Linked DNA regions of Drosophila melanogaster. The protein of the gene in region 2 binds, or shares a complex with, the protein of the main gene of each other region. Each region holds a gene or a part of one and is shown on either strand. Other genes may lie near its edges. The genes, in order: Diap1 and Drice. A codon is read from its position in the direction of its gene.

What was found.
Region 1: the proteins of Drice (region 2) and Diap1 are in contact, whole or in part, in a crystal structure (PDB 3SIP), measured with the Drosophila melanogaster proteins. Residues at the interface, in NP_524551.2 of Drosophila melanogaster: Tyr256 (codon at 1,728), Ser257 (codon at 1,725), Trp258 (codon at 1,722), Arg259 (codon at 1,719), Asn260 (codon at 1,716), Thr261 (codon at 1,713), Thr262 (codon at 1,710), Arg263 (codon at 1,707), Trp266 (codon at 1,698), Asp298 (codon at 1,602), Phe299 (codon at 1,599), Glu300 (codon at 1,596), Ser301 (codon at 1,593), Cys302 (codon at 1,590), Thr303 (codon at 1,587), Met309 (codon at 1,569), His310 (codon at 1,566); in NP_001261916.1 of Drosophila melanogaster: Gln101, Pro105, Asn106, Arg111, Arg113, Ile132, Ser133, Tyr134, Asp135, Ile136, Cys137.

The regions. Positions count from the first base shown.
Region 1 is NT_037436.4:16,047,874-16,052,877, forward strand, and holds the start of Diap1 (Death-associated inhibitor of apoptosis 1), read right to left. Parts: upstream 3,162-5,004; 5' UTR 2,585-3,161; intron 2,431-2,584; exon of another isoform or gene 1,711-2,430; intron 1,637-1,710; exon of another isoform or gene 1,362-1,636; intron 1-1,361. UniProt on the Drosophila melanogaster protein: Anti-apoptotic protein which functions as a caspase regulator, using its E3 ubiquitin-protein ligase activity to smother caspase activity. Binds, ubiquitinates and inactivates initiator caspase Dronc, and effector caspases Drice and Dcp-1.
Region 2 is NT_033777.3:29,797,801-29,802,390, reverse strand, and holds Drice (death related ICE-like caspase), read right to left. Parts: upstream 2,734-4,590; 5' UTR 2,494-2,733; coding exon 1,474-2,493; 3' UTR 807-1,473; downstream 1-806. Other genes in the region: Etfb (electron transfer flavoprotein beta subunit), read left to right, coding at 1-442; Rnb (R and B), read left to right, coding at 3,122-3,283, 3,390-3,482, 3,560-4,153, 4,211-4,549.

The DNA.
Region 1 (5,004 bases), on a different chromosome or scaffold from region 2:
TTTTGCACACAGTACAAGGCTGAGTAATTGCTACAGTAAATATTACGCAATTTTATGTACATAAGTTAGTATATGACATGATAAAATGGCTGATAAAAACTAATAAATGCGAAGAAACCACTAGGGATTCTTAAAGTATTTGTTGAATATATTTATATTATGAAATTTACAAACATATTTCTTGAATTGACGTTTTTGCCTCGAACAAAGTATTTGCAATGAACTATCAATAAGTAAAATATTTTTAAACGAAGTCCCAAGCTTTTCTGATTAAGCCCCTTTGAGTTATGAATATATATTTGGCAGGGGAAATGCCAACACGTTCTGATACTGTATAAACAAAGATTGCCAAGTTTGAATCATTTATGGAAAACAGCCCGGCTACAGTGCGCGACATGTGTATATGGCGTCCGCAAGCAAACGGGTTGAACTTTTCAAATTTTATAAATACACGCTGCTAAATTTACCACGAAAATGTCGCGACGCATTTGAGAAATTTGCCTATAAATGCGAAGTCTAGACGACTTTGACATGTTGCAAGTCGACACTGTTTGCAGGCGGTCTTCTGCTGTAAATTAAGCGAAAATGTGGCGTCTATACAAGCATTCTATTTGCGGATGCTGCCAGAGGCACTTCGGTTTTCATTTCATATTCAGCATCAAAAGATCACTCCGCTGACCACGCAGAGTTTGGGTCTCGAGTCGCCGGACAAGTTTTAGTTGAAAAATCCGCGGGCTTGGAGCTAAACGGCCTTGCAAGGCCTTTTAAAGTTGTTGCAACCGCCCTGTTCTTGTTGGTGCTGCTTTTAATGCACAGTTAAAATAGCCTACAGCGTTTTAACTTAATGTGTTGACAGCTGTTTAAGCTATTTCAAACAACTTGAGTCACTTTGTTGCTTTAATAATGAAACCATGCCAGCATTAACAAGTATGACTCAATAGGGATATACCTTAATTTTATCTATATATGCATGTATAATATTCATTTAAGATAAATATTAAGGAGCGTGTCAAAAGATTGCTGCAACTTTGTAATTCCTAAGTTCCTCATATTACATTTCAAAAGCTATACTCTACAGTTGATTCTGTTTATGTTATATTTTGTGGCTTTTTATTAACAGCCAACTGCAGCGGAGCTGAAAACCTGTTTGCCATTTTTGTATTCTCTTCATTCATTTGTGCGGCGATTGGCAAAAGGTGTCATAACAACGCGTTGGGCACGATTCGATTAGACTAGCCACTACCCATTGCTTATAACATGTGCTGCCTGTCGGTCCCTTTTCTAGCCACCATGTATTTACCTGCTCCATTCAGGGCCAAAAAAAAAGGAAGGAAAGAAAGCACCTGGATCGACAATTGTGGACGTGTGCCGGCAGCTGCAGCAACTAGGTAATAACCGATCAGAGGATCGCCGAAAGCGGAGCCAGCAACATCTGCTCCTGGGGCAAGGGTCCTCATCCTTATTGTGCACGCTTCCAGTGAAAGGATCGCGCGGCACATGACGACGCCAGCTGCCGTCGATCCTTTGTCAGGATATTTTCGGTGTGTGGATGTGTGGAACAATCCAATAATGAGCCTACCGAACTGAGGTGTCCCGCGGATCTTTTGCTGTCAAATGATGGAGCCTCAAAAAGGATGTATGTATATTGTATATTTAAGTTTATGGTGTAGTGGATAAATACTCAAAAATAATTTTATTCATCATTTTCAGGGGAACACCAAGTGAACTCATCAGTGAACTACTATTTGAAGTAAGGAATTTGAGAGGTTATGACATTACTCAAGTGACCTAATTTCCTGTGAAACCATCTAGTCACCGTTACTAGGTATAGATTAGACTTGCCAGTTGACAGTTGTTTTAAACAAATATCTCACGAATGAATGACGCAAAACAGAATGCAGCGAGGATATATGAATTTCGTTCTAGTAAAATAAGTGAGGTAAGCAACTGATGCTATAGGCAAAACCCCATCAATCATAGGAACCTACGCAGCGCTGTAAATGGAAATGACATTGAGCGGTAATTAGAAATTGGAAAATTCTAGCTAGTAAACGCGTTCCACGAATGGGTGGGTTTTGCAGCATGGGGGTGGTGTTGATTTCATCATGAATGAAATGCGATGCGAATGAGCTCAGCATCGGCGGAGATAAAAGGTACAATCTTAGTTAATATCCAGGCAGAAACATGTGCGACAGACAGATTTCATTCCAACCCATCCCTCAAAATGACAAGCTAGCACAAGAGCGAATAAGATAAGACGGGATCCTGACATATGCCTAAGTATGTATGTACATGTGTATCTCGGCCTCCAGATTGTTTTAGAAATCACTAGAAAACGCCAGAGAGCGGAGAGCGAGATAGGGAGAAAGGGGGAGAGAGAGAGAGTGAGAGAGGGAGGGATAATGGTCGTGTCCCTGTTTATGTGGGGGTAAGGACATGAATGAAAAAAGGCGTGTTGGAGAGAGAAAGGTAGACAGGCGGCGCCTATTTGTATGCAGCATAATTCAAGTATAGTAAAGTAAACCCATTTTGTTTTTTCTATAAACCGCGGGAAGATTGAACACACATATTTATATTTACTTACCAGAGACATTTTAAACAGTGATAACGTATCAGTTTATCATTGGTTTTTTTAATGCCTTTTTTCGGCCACCAAATCGTTAATTGTTTTCGTTCACCTCTTATCGCACCACGATAAGATTATAAAATCACTTAAAATAAGTTTTGCTGTATAAAATGTTTACACAACTGTGCTCACGTCGACTGGTGGGTTTGAATGCCGTGCAACGACTACGCCAAAGCTATGTGCCTATATAGCTCACTTTCCTATAGGTATTTGTTTTGTCGGTTCTGCGTTCTCGTTTTGTTTTGTTTTGCTTGGCTTTCTAGTGAGCGAGAGGGTGCTGGCGGGGGAAAGAGAGAGAACTAGCGGGGCGGAACGGTCGAAATAGTTTTTTGCCGCCCAAGCGATGCGCAATTATTTTTGGGGGTGGGATGTCCGCACTTTCGTTGGCTATTCCAGCTGTGCGTCTCTAAACTGGAATGTTTTTTTTAAAACTTTTTTAAGTTTAATTAATAACTATTTTGCAAGCTATTTATATTTCTGAATATATTAAAATTTCAAAAACAAACAACTGTCAGCACACGAAGTCGTAGTTTTAAATAAATGCTAAATGGGGTCACACTGTTCAAGGTGCTTGGCTCGCTGATGTATCGATACGCGCTAAAAAGATATCGATAAGATGCATCAGTGGGATCAAGTCTACGCTAGGCCGTCAGCAGCGTTTTCAACCAACATTTATCGAATAAAACGGTTTGGAAATCGAAACGGTAGTTCAGGTATAACACATATACAAAATTGAGCCACTTATAGAACAAGGGTCTGTTACCCGGTCCAGTAACACCGCGAAAACTGAGCTTATTTCGATTCATCAGAATTAGAGCCCCTAACATTTTGTCTTGATTTGACAAAAAAATTAGTGGAACAAACAGAAGAACCTTCGGCATACCGAGAACTCCCAGTAAAAACAAAATACTTTGATCAGTTTGGAAATTTATTTTAACATCAATTGTTTGTTGTTTCGGTTTAATAAACTTTCGAGAATTCTTAGTATCAAACCAGGAATAAATACAAACAATTGAGGGAAGCCACAATTAGAGAAGTTGACCAAAAACAGCATTTTTTGAGTTTGAAAGTAAATTGATTCTGTTGTATCCTCTTTTTCCTTTTTGTGTTTTATATAGATAAAATTAGAAACGGTATTAATATATTTAAAAAGTTGTTTGAAAATTGCATTGTATGTGTTTTTGAGGCACATCAAATATATCGATAGATATGGCCGCATCTATTTTTGAACTAAATGTAAAGAATTGGATGCAAAAAGAACGCATTTCTCCCGAATGGAGTAATAAGACGAACAATTACGAATACCCTAAAATAATATTGATAGTTTAATTAACATCGTTAAAAATATCGGTCCATAACAGCACTGCTAAGTGTTAACATAACTAAGACGCCATCTACAATTTTGTGAGCGGCGTTAGTGTGACCAGGCGAAAAGAGTGCTAAATATACCGCGCATTGCCCTCCGATTCACATCGTCAAAAAATTTTGGTCTGTGAACTTCGTGCGGATGAAATTCGATTTGAACGCCACCGAAAATATGCAAAATAAAGTGAAATACCAGTGCCTCGCGGACGAGGAGCGCTTCAGCGGAGAGTCCTGCAGCCATTAAAGCCCAGAGAGCACTGAAAGTTCTGGGAATTTCGCGGGAAAGGTGCGTTTTTCGCTTGGTCTTTCGGTGTGTGTGAAAAGTTTCTACTGCAATCCATTTTTCTCTACGTGCGTGTGCGGCATACGTGTGTATGTGTTGCGTCTGTGTGCGAGGCGAGTGAATGTGTGTGTGAGTGTGGAGTGGAATGTAAAATGTGGGGCGATGTAAAAATGCCTTTACATAAGTGCACTCGCATTTGCAAGGATTTTGTGCAATACCGCCATCCTGCCAAATTACATAAAATCATCGCATTTCAGTGCGTGAAAAAATACGCGGTTTCCATTTTTGTTCTATTTACTCGCGACGTCAGCGTCGCGGCTGTTGAATTTATGTCAAATTGGTAACACACACACATGCAGGCTCAGCCATTCGCGCTCTCCGTATGCAAGCCCTAACTGCATGAGTGTGTGTGAGCGGCAGAGAGAGAGAGAGAGCGCGAAAGGGAGAATGATAAACAAAGTGTAAAAAAAACAAGCGGCTGCTAAAATGCCCGCAAGTGTTTTTAATTGATATGAAAATGTGTTTGCTTAACACTATGTAGCCCAGCAGCTGGTGGCTCTAAATAAAGCATTTGCAAAATATTAATTTCTCCTATCGTATTTCTTAGTTTTTGCCCCATCCTCTTGTGTAATTTCCATTGAATGCAACAACAAAGGTGCGCGTTAAACAACAACAAATAGCATTGTTTTGCGGGAGAGCGAGTGTGAGAGAGAGAGAGCGTTCCTGATTG
Region 2 (4,590 bases):
CAAGTTGGCTCTTGACGAAAAAGCCGACCTGGTCATCCTTGGCAAGCAGGCCATCGACGATGATGCCAACCAAACGGCCCAGATGACCGCCGCCGTGCTCGACTGGCCGCAGGGCACCTTCTGCAACAAGATCGAGAAGACAGACGCCGGTCTGACCATCACGCGTGAAATTGATGGTGGCCTGGAGACAATCAAGACCAAGACCCCGGCTGTGCTGAGCGCCGATCTCCGGCTGAACACCCCTCGCTACGCCACGTTGCCGAACATCATGAAGGCCAAGAAGAAGCCGCTGAAGAAGGTTACGGCCAAGGATCTCGGCGTGGACACCTCGCCCCGCATCGAGGTCATCTCCGTGGAGGATCCTCCTGTGCGCCAGGCCGGCGCCACCGTCGCCGACGTGGATGCCCTGGTGGCCAAGCTAAAGGAGGGCGGCCACATCTAGATGTTCCTCAACTAGAAAATTGTGAGCGCATATTCTACGTTTTTAATTAGTCGAAAGTTATCAGAAACGTGCATTTATCTAGCCGGAGAGTCGGATTTGCTGACAGGCTTTAAATTTCTCTGAATTCAACCCATACCCGTGTGCTTTAAGTGAACTATAAATTGGAATTTATTCTCGTTGTGTCCAGCTCTAAGAATAAAGTGATTGTAAGCTCTGAAATCGTACGATCAGGGTCAGCCAATGGCTGGACTCGTCTATTTTTCCGTCTCCGCGTGCTACCTTTTCGGGAAATGCCGCTCAACTTGGCGCCCAAAAGAGGCGACAGGGTCAACAGCAAACAGCCAATGGTCATTGATTTCTCATTGTTTTCAATCGGATTTATTAGCGGTTAACTTGAAAGGAGAACATTTGCTAATGTGCATTATATAAGAGTACAAATGGCATAGAAATAGTATATATTGTTCATAAAACACTCGACTACAGGCTAAAATCGTTTGTTTTCGTTTTGGACGACCATGACACACAGGCTTATACTATAAAGATATCTATGTGTATAAAATTGTAAAAAGGTCTTGTCTGTAAATGGTCTAAGGTAGATATAGATAAGGGTGGGCCGACATTCCTGATCGAGAATCAAAGAGGCGCAAGTTGTTCTATGATAAGGTTTAGTAGAGAATTTAAAATTTTGAGATCGTCTTTGTTCAGTTGGCAAGTTAAAATTGTCAAAAAATTTTGGCCGGAGTAAAAACCTCTTAGATTTCTAAGTTAAATCGATCTACTCTACCCACCCCAAAAAATATAAATACAGACGAGTAAATGCGACATTAATAAATGTCAATCGAAAGATACTTTGTGCCTAAATAAAATAAAACGGGCAGTGGCACCAATCTCGTCGAGCAATTGGGCAGGTTAAAAAAGTGTTGTATAAAAAATATGCTGCAAGGCCGATAGCCCATGAGGTTCTAACTTAATTGCGACTTGGTTTATCACACACCTCGCCGTACCCACCGTTTGATCCATACCATTAGCCATCAAACCCGTCCGGCTGGTGCCAACTGCTTGTCGCTGAAACGCAGAATGCGCGTCAGCATGGTGGTTATGCAGGGTATCTGCTTCTGCTGGTGCATCTCCGGAGTGTCCGGGGTGCAGGACTCAAAGTCCACGGCCACCCGCTGGCACACGAATGTGAGCAGGGTCAGGATGTCCAGCCGCTTGCCATTGGCCGCCAGTTCGGCGCACAGGCTCTGCATGAACCAGCTGCCGCGGGTGGTGTTGCGCCACGAATAGAATCCAGGAACCGTCGAGTAGGCGATCAGAAAGTCGGCGTGCACTGGAATCTTGTAGCTCATCGAGGAGTCGCCATCGGTTTCCGTCTGAGAACGCTGCATGGTCACTCCGCCATCCAATCTGTCGCCCTGGCAGGCCTGTATGAAGAACAACTTGGGTTTGCCGGCTAGCGAGGGGCAGTGATTGGCCGTGAAGAAGCTCCAGATGTTATCCAGCTTGTACTGTGTGTCCTTGGCGTAGATGTAGCCCATCTCGCCGTGCGACAGGATGGCGACCAGGATGCAATCACTATCGCTGTGATTCTGCGACGCTGCATACTCGATTGTCCTCAAAATGTCCTTGTAGCGGCAGTCCTTGTACACGGTCACTTCGAAGTCCAGCTGCTTGAGCACCCGAGTCAGATTCTCGCAGTCCACATTGGTTCCCGCGCGAGACTTCAAGGTGGGCACCTCGAAGTGCTCATGGTTGAAGATCAGTGCCATTCCGCGGTTCTTGTGGCGCATGTTGTACTCGGCTGCATGGCGGTCGGTGACCATTTTGGCTACATTCTTACGGTAGCTGGACGAGGGTGAGCTGTACCCGTTGGCCAGCTGCCCAATGGCTCCGCTGCCGTAAGGATGCGAGGATCCTGCGACCAGGCCGCTGCTACCCGCTCCTCCGGATCCCACGGAGCCCAGGGCATCTGTGTGATCGTTGGGCTGCTCCGGATTGCCCACCCTGATGCCCACCTGGTCGGCGGATTCTCCATTGTTAGTGGCGTCCATGGCTAAGTTCTCTCCTTGAGCCTGCGAAAACTGATGAGTCACAAGCACTGCGAAACAGGTTTTTCCAAATCTGTGAAAAGCTTGGATGCACGACTTGGGCAAATTAGCTTCGTTCTGGGGAAAGTCCGTGTTTACGCGCAACAAAGACAGCTAGTTATTAACTAATTACTTTAGTCGATTGCGTTTTTGTCTTTAATTCTGTAAGACCGTTGTTGGCAGTTGAAAAACACCAAATAGCGCCTGATTTGGTGATGACACTTCAGCCCTCGTGTCACGATTACGGTAAACAAAGAAAGTAAATAAATATAGGAAAAATTATTAAATGGGTTTTAAAAAATATTAAAATAATTTGAAATTAAAAGCTTGGAGGTAATTTTGTGGGAACTTGTATAATCTACATAAAAAACAGGCCTGCTTCCATTTATTATTGTAGAATCGAATTCGCATCCAAAGCTAAAACGTAAACATCAGTTTATAAATAAGGCAGACCGCTGCTGGATTTTCGAAAAATAACGTAAAATACCGTAAAATACGCTCTTATGCACGGTCACACTCTCAAAGAGGTTTGAGACGCACTGTAGAATTTGTTGAATTGTTTCAATTTGTTTAAAAATTAAGAAAATTACCAATGTTCTGGACACCAGAGCAAGTGGAGAGCATGCTGGAAGTGCTAAAGACCTCCACGGATCGAACAGTCATTTACAAATGCCTGGTGAAGCTGCGCACCGATCTGGTGAAGGATAAAAATGGCATTGTTTTATTTCGCACTGCTGGGGGCGTTCACATCATGGTGGGTTTGGGAGTCACAACGCTCATGGTGGTTTGACAGCCACTGCCGCTCACATAGGATCGTTATTCGAATCGATTTTTAAATCATTATTAATTGCGTCTTCCAGGTGCGACTGATCACCAAGCTGAATGAAAAGATAATGGAGGTGGTACTGAGCATACTGGGGAACTGCTGCACCGACGAACAGTCCTGCATTGAGGTGGGATTATCAGATTACATTTTTATCTTTATTTTGAACCACAACGGTTAAAAAAATTTAAAACTTTCCACTTTAAGGCTGTTGAATGCAAGGTGATTCACCCGCTGGTGACCATTCTGAAGACCATACCTAATCCCCTGATCCAGTGCCGCGCCTGCCGGATGCTTGGAAACATCGCCAAGAGCAAGAAGGCGTCCCAGTGTCTCACAGTGCACTATGCGGCCATTGCACCGGCCATCTGCCACATCATTGAGTCCACCAGTGCGGTGCAGACCCGCATCATGGCATTCCGCGTCTGCCGTTTCCTTCTGGCCAGCAGCCAGTTCCTGAAGTACTTCCTCATGGCCAATGGGTTCCAGCAGCTGATGCGAATTTTTCTGGCCGTGATGAAGAACGAAGAGGCATCCAAGGAGCCCGTTCCGGACATCGAGATGTCCACGCTGATTGGCCTGAAGAGGAACCAGCACCGTGAGAAGTATTTCGAGGAGGTAGCCCGGAATTTGGAGGGTGTTCGCAGTGACATCTTTGACCACCAGATGCTCAAGAATTCCACAAGGAACTGTGACTATGCGCTGCCCAAGGAAAATGAAGCGGCCGTTGAGCTGGCCCTCGAGATTCTGAAGTGTCTGGTCCTGATATCCGCGCAGCAAATTGGACTGAAAGTTTGGGAGGTGAGACTGTTTTCTAAGTTCTCCAAAACGTAGTACATAATAAACATTTCTTGTTAGTCCATTTCCTGGAATACCTCGCTCGCCTCCATTGTGTGCTTCGTAAAGGAGGACGGCGACCAACGGGCCTCTGCCCTTAAAATCCTCTCTAACTTCTGCAAGGATCCCTTCGCCTTCTACATGCTGAGCACTGCGGATGCCATTGTGGCTGCCTGCGAGATGCTCATGGCTGTGAACATGGCAAAGCCACTTAGCGAAAGCGAGAGCCGGCACTGCATCAACATAATCTTGACGCTATCCACCGATGCCTGCAGCCGCTCGAAGATCCGGAGATGTGGGGCACTGCGCAAGCTGGTGGCCATGATCCGGGACTCCAACTCGCAGAGCGAGCGATCATCGGTGAGATGGAAACCAAATCCCTCTTGACATCTGCTATATAT